Linked DNA regions of Arabidopsis thaliana. The protein of the gene in region 2 purifies or fractionates together with the protein of the main gene of each other region. This does not show direct contact. Each region holds a gene or a part of one and is shown on either strand. Other genes may lie near its edges.

Region 1 (6,114 bases), on a different chromosome or scaffold from region 2:
CTCTCTCAGGTCAAGCCTCTTTTCGCAAATATACGTCCTTGATGAAACTTTCTTCATATGCATTCGTGGGGTATAACCTGTGAATTGTGTGTCCTGATGATTTCCAATTCACAGCAACAACATAGGACATTCATTCAAATGGGGACGATTCTCAAATGCGTGGATAACTCGTGTGCTAAAGAGGTGATGTGCATTCAATCCCTGAGAGGTAAGAAAGGAGCAAGACTTGGCGATATCATTGTTGGTTCAGTGAAAGAAGCTAACCCAATTGTTCAAAAAAAAGTAAAGAAAGACGCTATCCCAAAAGGTAAAGTGAAGAAAGGGATGGTCGTGTACGGTGTGGTTGTGCGTGCTGCGATGCCTAAAGGACGTGCTGATGGAAGCCAAGTCAAGTTTGATGACAATGCCATTGTAGTTGTTGGCATTAAGGAAAAGAAAGGGCAGAATAATTCACATGGTTCCAAGAGGAAAATGGAGTACAACCAACCGACTGGTACCCGAGTGTTTGGTCCTGTCCCGCACGAGATGCGCCTCAGGAAACAGCTCAAGATCCTTTCTTTGGCTCAGCACATTGTTTGAGACAATACACCACACTAAAACATCAGTTATGATCTCCTTTATGTGACTCTCTTTGATCCATTCATCACTTGGGTTTCTGTTGATTCTTCAACTATCCAACTCATTATTTTTGTTAATTCTAATGAATTATGAAACCTTAACGTACCAATTATGATCTCTTATTTAGGTTTCTTTTAATTGTTAAACTCTACTCTCTTAGTAAAAAAAGCAGGGGAAATAGCTTTAAACAACCATCCTTCTCCAAACCCTTCACTTAGTTTTCATGTTTGATACAGCATCCCTCATTAAACACTTTGGAATCAATATTACCTGTTGTATAACAATAACAATAGAAAAGACAATAATAACTCTTTCACAACAAGTATTTATATATAATAGATTACAGAAAAGTATTAAGGTGAATGTGACATAAATTTCAGTTACAATTCCTTAAGCCACATCTCCAATATTACAACAACATATCCACCTACAAGACTCCAAAGTAAAAACATTTCTTCTCTATTCTTCTTATACATAACAAACATACACATTCAAGTCCATGAGAAAAAGGAATGGACTTCAGCTATGCATCAAGGTCTTAATTCTTCTTCCCCCCAACATTTCACTTCTTATTTTTATGTAAACTTGTGGAAATTTTTTCAATAAATAAGAAATAATAAAATTATAATAGTGTAAGAGCTCGAGCATACACTGTTTCAAGATCTGGTCTTGAACTTTCTTTGAGCTTTCAAGTCGATCACTATGATTGAGATATTGTCTTTGCTTCCCATTTGAATAGCGAGTTTGGAGAGATATTCAGCCGCAGCTTGACACGCTTGGTCTTCTCCTACACCTCTCTCAGCTAAAGGCAATGCTCCATTCTTCTTGTGCCAAGCCAAGATCCGCCTCCTCGCAAAATCGCAAGCTTCTTGGTTACTCATTACGTCCCAAAGTCCATCACTGGCCAATATTAGACACTCGTCTTCTCTAGCTCGTGGCATAAACGTCACTTCGGGATCTGGTATTACAAATGGCTCCAGATATTGATCACCTGAAAACGATGCAGATTGAAACCCACTTTCAGGAGATCTCATGATTTTGCAGAGACTGTAACAGGTAGTAATGATCCTCATCTCTAAATAAGGTTACTGAATGTTTAATTTATCGATAATTTTGACCTATAAAACTCTCTTCATATTTCTGTCACTAGGCAAGATGGAAGACATAAGTGCAAGTTTGACCTACCGATGGACCTGGACATGGCAAGAACGCCAGAAACACGAGCGCCTTGCCATTGTATAACTTTTCCTCCAGCTTTCTCTATTCGTGCATACTCATCCTCTCTATCTGGCTGCAGAGAAAGGGTAAGAAATTTCATGAATTAGAAATAAGAAACTTTCTCAGATTGTGTTAAATTATTTTAGAGGGAAAGAGAAGATTTTTTACTTTGTGATCAACTGATAAAGGCATGGAGTCTTTGCCTCGGAGTAAAACTGCTCTTGAGTCACCACAGTTTGAGACTATTATATGCGATGAACAAACCAAAGCAACCACAGCAGTCGATCCAACGGTTTCAGGGGAAACAGCTTCAAGAACCATCCTATCAGAAGAACCAACAACAGGTCTGTTGATTTTCCCTTTAACCTCATCATCGACTTTTAGGTAACAATCTACAAAGACTTTCTCCCACTGGACCTGCCTACCCTCGCCAGTGTTCCTCCTACACAATTCCTCTTTAATCCGTTCGATTTCTTCAGCCAAAGCAGAGTGGATTCTATCATGGCAATAGTCAGCAACCTGCAAGAATCCGATTTCCACCAAAGCCGTCATATATTACATAACAACCTGCAAAGAATCCCGTTTCCAGCAAACCCTTTATCATATATACATACAACCTACGTCAACAAAACATAAACTCATGTATCTTCCGGGTTCATAGTTGAATTAACTTTCTACTGCTAAAATCAGTATAAGGATTTACGAACTACAGCATACCTGAGCGCCTCCGTGGCCATCATATACACCAAAGAAGTGACTAGTGAGATATGGGAGACTTGGACTCATCCCTTCATGATCCCCCATAAGCATTTTGATGGGTATTTTGAGAAAATGAGGTAAAGCTCTAACAGCATCCTCCATTTCAGATCTTCCACCGCAAATTGAAATCGTGCCCCAAAGAGGTATACACTCTAGTTCATAAACACTCCTGCTTCCTCTTGCTACATTAGGATTTTCTTCAGGTAACCTAATGACTACCTCAGAAGTTGCCACCTCCATATTCACATCGTGATTCAGACTCGCAATAAGGACTTCTGCAGTGGGAACCTGTTCTATGGTTGTCTCGTTTAGGATAATGGCCGTAGCAAGAACTCGCCCGTTATCAGTTTCAACTGTATCTGGCAAACTTATCTCAGACCTAGCGTCCACAACTATTAAACCTTCGCTAATAATAGTCGCATCAGATACTAATGGCTCATCTTCTTCTGATTCCTGGACAGTTACACTAAAATCAGAAGACAAACTTCTCACTTCAGATAAAGTCTTCTCTTCTGAAACACTTCCCATAATACAATCCACCACTCCATTACTATATCTTTGTCTTTTCTGATTACACAACATGTCAGCTGCATCAGTAACATTCTCCAGCTCGGAGATATCGAAAGTAGATGAGATTCCAGAGTCACACATCGTATTAGCTAAACCCAAAGTAAGTGCAACTGCAGGTGAAATCTCTTCCATGAGCTGGTATGCAGCTTCCAAACCTCAACTGGAGCAAAACGATTCAAAAAACTTCATTTTCTTCTCTAAGCTATAGTCTGATGAACTCTACATCCAATTCAGCTTCCCACCGAGACCCACCAGCCGTTTATTCTCACCAACTAATCCAGAAAGCAGTGAATGACGAAGAAGTATGTACCTCCGCTGAACAGATCTGACGGATCTATGAAGACGGATCCTTTGTGAATTCGTGGGATTTTGATCACTCTAACGATCCTCTATAACTCTTGATCTTCATCGAATCAGAAAGACAATAAACTCACACAAACCCTAATTTAGAAACCCACAAAAAAAAAATCAGCCTTTTTCAGATAGATCACACAAGAGAGCAGAGAGAAGACACAAAGGTGAAAACTTTATCCAAAACAAAAACAAAAGTCAGGTGAAATTGAAGAGAAGGGACAACAAACAGAGAGAATTGATATCAATCAGCGAAATGAATCACAAAACACACAGAAAAACCTAAAAAAGTCGAAACCTTTATCTCTCTTATCTTTCCAAAACGAAACGAAACATGGGTTCTCCTGGATCTAATGAGGTTTTTACCCAAAAAATAAAATTAGAAAAATTATAAGCACTCCACGGAATCCCAAGTTTCTTTATGTGACAACGACCTTCATTATTAACACGTTGCTCCAATCAATTATAAAACTAATTTATTAATCTATTCAATAATGGCAACATAGATGACGCGTGTCCTTCCCTCTTAAAGGTCAAGTCTTCTGTTTATTCTTCTAATTTAGTTTTTTGATCCAAGATTGAAAGTATGTTCATGACATATGTTCATGCATCTCATGACACATGTAGTGTTATCATAACGTGGTTAAAAAATAGACAACGAAAGACTTTTCTCGGAGACCAAAGTTTGAAATGGGCCTACATTAAGGCCCAGTCAGCGTCACTTATATGGGCTCTAGCGTCCACTTGTTTACATTAAGGTAAGAAACTTCATTAGCTCTGTCTCAGCTTTTATACTTTCTGATCAACTGATAAAGGCATGGATTCTTTGCCGCGGAGTAAAACCACTCTTGAACCACCACAGTTGGAAACTATGATATGTGATGAGCAAACCAAAGCAACAACAGCAGTTGATCCGACGGTCTCAGGGGAAACAGCCTGAAGAACCATCCTATCATCAGAAGAAACAGAACCAGAAACAGGTCTGCTTCTTCTGTGGCCATCATAAATTCCGAAGAAGTGACTAGTGAGACATGTGAGCGTTGGACTTATTATCCCTTCATGATCACACATAAGCATTCTGATAGGTAGTTTGAAAAATGAGATAAAGCTCTAACAGCATCCTCCATTTCACCGCAGATTGACACAGTGCCCCAAAGAGGTATACACTCTAGCTCATAGACACTCCACCTCCTTCCTCTTTGCTACATTATCATGATGACTTGTAGTAATAAGGACTTGTGTTGTGGGAACCGCATCATCATTCAGGATAATGGACGTAGCAAGAACTCGCCCATGATCCTCTATTCCACTTCCATTGTAGCGTCCACAACTATTATTAAATTCCACACTCGCTTGTACACGGCTGTTTGTTATACGAAAATCATTATTAGCTATATATTATATACTCCATATGGTTTCTTTGAAATATCAAAGGTCCTCCTCATCAGCGACATGAATCACACACAAAAGACAAAGTCCTTCAAACTCAAACCCTTTTGCCCTTTCAAAACCAAACAGGTTACCCCAAGATATTTAACACGTTCGTCGAAACAATTATAAAACTAATTTCAACCTTTGGATTTCCTCATGGTCTTCTTCTTTCTTCTAAAAGATCAAGACTGCCTATAATTCCAAATTTATCTAGTTTACATATATATCAATATAAGATGCCATTACACAAATCTAAAAATAAAAAATCCTCTTTTTGTCTACAAGATATGATATGGAATATCCTTTAAAGATAAGTCGTCAACTAAAATTAAAAAAATCCTCTTTTTGTCTGCCTCTCTGTTCGTTATGACTGTTTAGATTGTTGGAGAAAAGAAAAACCTTCTAATTTTAGCAAAGTGCCAAAACCATTATAAGTTTAAATTTTCTCAACAAACAAAACAGCTCTCCTCTCCTCTTCTCTTCTTAATTCCTTGTTATCATTTTCATTATCATTCGGTCTCCTTATTTCCTCCTTCTGAGGGTAATTGAAAGACCGTACCACAATGTCTTTCTAGTTTCTCCAGAAGCAAAAGTTTCCAGCAATCATCTCGAGGGCTGAGAAACAATGGCTGCAAGAAGACTCAAAGGAAAAGACAGCAAAGCAGTTACCGCCATAGCCATTGATAAAGATAAGAACAGCCAACACGCTTTGAAATGGGCTGTTGAGAATATCATCATCGATTCTCCAAACTGTATCCTTCTCCATGTTCAAACCAAACTGAGTACGTAATGGCATCATCATCATCATCATCATTGTTATCAATCCATCAATCTAATGAAAACTCTTGAAACAGGATTTGGGGCAGGAGAAAACACAGAAGCACCACATGACAACCAAGAAGAGGCGCATCAGTTCTTCCTTCCCTTTAGAGGATTCTGTGCTCGGAAAGGGGTCAGATATCAACCTCTCTTTCTCCTTACAACAATCACATATATATATATATATACACATAGCTCTCACCGACCTCATTAATTATATATTTTCTCTCAGATTATAGCAACGGAGGTTCTTCTTCACGATATTGACATCTCGAGTGCAATTGTTGACTACATCACCAACAATTCCATTTCAAATATAGTCATTGGAGCCTCTGCTCGAAATTCTTT
Region 2 (3,369 bases):
TAATTAACTCGGCTTACTTGCGCCCGTCTCATTTTCTTTGAGTGTAAAAATTTGTTGATCATCAATAAATAATTTTACTGATAGAGATAAAAAAAAATAAAAAATTTGACGTATTCTTTTCTGTTAGACCGGATAAATAGACATTCAATCAAAGGTTTTTTTTTTATTAACCTACAAGGTAGTGAACTCCATTTGTTAGAACAACTTCCATTACCTTCGAACTTTTTTTATTCTTAATAACACAGAAAGTTGTGATACGGTTGCAAAACAATTTATCAATGGTGCCGATAAGATTGTTCAGAGGGTGGCAATGGGCATTGGTTTCACTTGCTTACCATAAAGAAAGCAAGTTTGAGAAATACCAAAATTGCGATTCTGTTTTTGATTGTGACTTGTGAGCCCCAACAATATATGTATATATTTCAGCTTGAGCTCAATTCCCATATATGCTACAACTCTAAGACGCAATTTATGAAAATTTGGATTTTAAATAGTCATCATGTCCATGTTTCTCGAGATGGATATCTAAGAGAAGAATAATTTGAATTTTATAAGTTTATTAAGTCATATTTTTAATACTTAAATCCAAATATAATTTGTTCCATGTATTTTATTTTTATTCTTATAATACACTTATGGAAATCTATTCTATTTTACTTCATATCTTTACCCATTTTTAATTTGCAATTTACCTTTATAATCCACTTATAAATATATATAAAAAAATCTATTACATTTTATCTCATGTCTTTACAGATTACACATTGGAATTGAGTTTTTTTTTTCATCTAAAACTTTTGTTATTTATATAACCATGGAGGTGACACAATGCCGGCCGTTAAACATGATCTTAGTCTAGGAAGGCTAAACATAAAACCAAAGCCAAGAAAAGGACTAACAAACGGACTGGATAGTTTGAAACCCAAAACCAAAACAGAATGGATTTTGTGCTGTGTGGGGTGAAGCATAAATGTATAAATGGAAAATATCATCATTAAAGTTTGGGCTTATACGGGCCTTATTTCTAATAGGCAATAGACTGATGGAACATTGAATATGCCTACCCTGGATATGTAGAACTTGCATGGCTCTCGGATTGGATACGTAGAACATTACACTTATGAAGGAAAAAAGATTGGATTCTTTTTTTTTCTGGTCGGCAACCAATTAAGAGAAACACTGTTATGTTTGTAAACAAGTGTGTGTTTCGCTAAATTCCATTGTGTGCTTTTCCGGTTTAAATGACATCTGTATTTACCTCGTGGGCAATGACACATCTATCTATATTTAGCTCCAAAACATTGCTGCAGCAAATTTCCAAAATAGACCGACTAGATTTTAATATAATATTGGTAATTTTTATCAGTTGGTAAGATATTTAATTCTTCGTGAAAAGATACTCGTATATCTCTCTTTCTGTTTAAATGGTTGATATAGTCAAAAGAAAAACCTTCAAAGAGGGTTTGTTAAAACCATATTCCCTATCACTCTTGTCAGAATACCCTTCACAGATGGTTTTGTTAATCTTTTTGATAAAACCAAGTTCCAGAATATGCAAGCCTTTTATCAAAAAGCAAAAGAAAGTTTCTAAATATGCCAACAAGATTGTGTAATTTTTCACTATACAAGGCAGTCAATACTTGTGTACAAGTTTATATTGTAAAATGTTTTTTGGTTAGTATATAGTAAGAAGAATTCGAATCGAACTCTAAAGTTTAATATTACATGAAGAATTCGTAAATAAATTAAACAATATAAAACACTATAAAAATATTTTAGTCGGTGGCTTGCCTTCATTTATATGTACGTAGATTCGTTCGATATGCTTTAAAACAAGTGAATACGAAAATTCTAAAGTAAGACACGAAAATACACGTCGATAAAAGACAAACCCATTAGAAAAACAAAACAGAAAATGGAAAGTTCTAAGCAAAAACGATGTCGCTCTAGCGTAGTCGAGACCATTGAAGCACCATTACCACTAGTGTGGTCCATCCTACGTAGTTTCGACAAACCACAAGCTTATCAACGTTTCGTCAAAAGTTGCACCATGCGCTCTGGCGGCGGCGGCGGCAAAGGAGGAGAAGGAAAAGGCTCCGTCCGGGACGTGACGTTAGTCTCCGGCTTCCCGGCGGATTTCAGCACGGAGAGGCTCGAAGAGCTAGATGATGAGTCTCACGTGATGGTGGTAAGTATTATTGGCGGTAACCATAGGCTTGTTAATTACAAATCGAAAACGAAGGTGGTCGCGTCGCCGGAGGATATGGCAAAGAAGACGGTGGTGGTGGAGAGTTACGTGGTGGATGTGCCGGAAGGAACTAGCGAGGAAGATACAATATTTTTTGTTGATAACATTATTCGGTATAACCTTACTTCACTTGCTAAGCTCACAAAGAAAATGATGAAGTAAGCTCTATATGTTTAAGCTAATCAATAAACTAATCGTAGTTATAGTTATGAATCATTGGATTAAGAAAAAAATGGATCGTTATGGATTAGTTTTTAATCTTTAAGGCTTTTAGCATTGCAATAATAATAATAAAAATATAAAGAATCGGAATAATATGCTCGTGTGGTTTCTTTCTTCCGTGATTGTAATTGTCTCTTTTCTCCTACTCTTTTATGAAGAGAAATAAAATGAAGGTTATTTCTACATTTTTACAATTAGGAATCTTTGAAATAATGGTTTTAAATTGTTGACTCAGTTGGTTTAGTTACTAAATATACTGATTTGTATTGCTGACAACAAAAGTTAGACTAAATACATGTTTGAAAATTTTCTTGATAATTCTTTGTCCATTTTGCATAATGCATAGTAAAAGGGCATCATGTAAGATTCTTAATTTGAAGTTCTAAACTAATTAATATCAATACTTTAGTATAATATTATTAGGTTGGAAGGTATTTTACACTCAGAACAGAAAGTATGATGACCTAAACTGTAGATCTCGTGAATTTCATGGCCGTTTGACTCAAATCTGTTCGGAGGTTATGAATTTATGATGTCCGTTGAATCATTGAGCTGTTGAACTAATGGAGTGGTTTACTCTATAATACTTTGGTGTGTTTTTATCAAAAACCGACCGAATCAACAGATATAATTTATTTTGAACAAGTTGGTGAAAGACAAAATAGAGGTTCTATTGATCTAAATATAACGGTGAAGATTGGAAATTTTCATGTTTTTTCGGGAATTGGGCCTTTATGAATGGACTATTGGGCCTTGCTATTTCAAAGCTTGGGTGTTGGTGGGGCTTGCTATTTCAAAGCTTGGGTGTTGGTGGGGGAGTGTGAGTGGTTGCCACGTGAAGGATACTTATTCCCTTGTCCTTTTCATTCCCGCAATTTTAGGGATTTTGGTCAACGAAA

What was found. Proteins that work in one complex are often made in the same cells at the same time.
Region 1: the proteins of PYL13 (region 2) and HAB2 fractionate together in Arabidopsis thaliana (co-fractionation; one study listed by BioGRID). This does not show direct contact.

Annotation. Positions count from the first base shown.
Region 1 is NC_003070.9:6,032,100-6,038,213, reverse strand, and holds HAB2 (homology to ABI2), read right to left. Parts: upstream 3,945-6,114; 5' UTR 3,298-3,944; coding exon 2,554-3,297; intron 2,356-2,553; coding exon 2,005-2,355; intron 1,910-2,004; coding exon 1,804-1,909; intron 1,610-1,803; coding exon 1,275-1,609; 3' UTR 816-1,274; downstream 1-815. Other genes in the region: HLL (Ribosomal protein L14p/L23e family protein), read left to right, coding at 1-9, 115-579; AT1G17545 (Protein phosphatase 2C family protein), read right to left, coding at 4,306-4,626, 4,705-4,907, 5,090-5,105; AT1G17540 (kinase with adenine nucleotide alpha hydrolases-like domain-containing protein), read left to right, coding at 5,573-5,729, 5,802-5,899, 5,999-6,114. UniProt on the Arabidopsis thaliana protein: Key component and repressor of the abscisic acid (ABA) signaling pathway that regulates numerous ABA responses, such as stomatal closure, seed germination and inhibition of vegetative growth.
Region 2 is NC_003075.7:10,252,444-10,255,812, forward strand, and holds PYL13 (PYR1-like 13), read left to right. Parts: upstream 1-1,915; coding exon 1,916-2,410; downstream 2,411-3,369.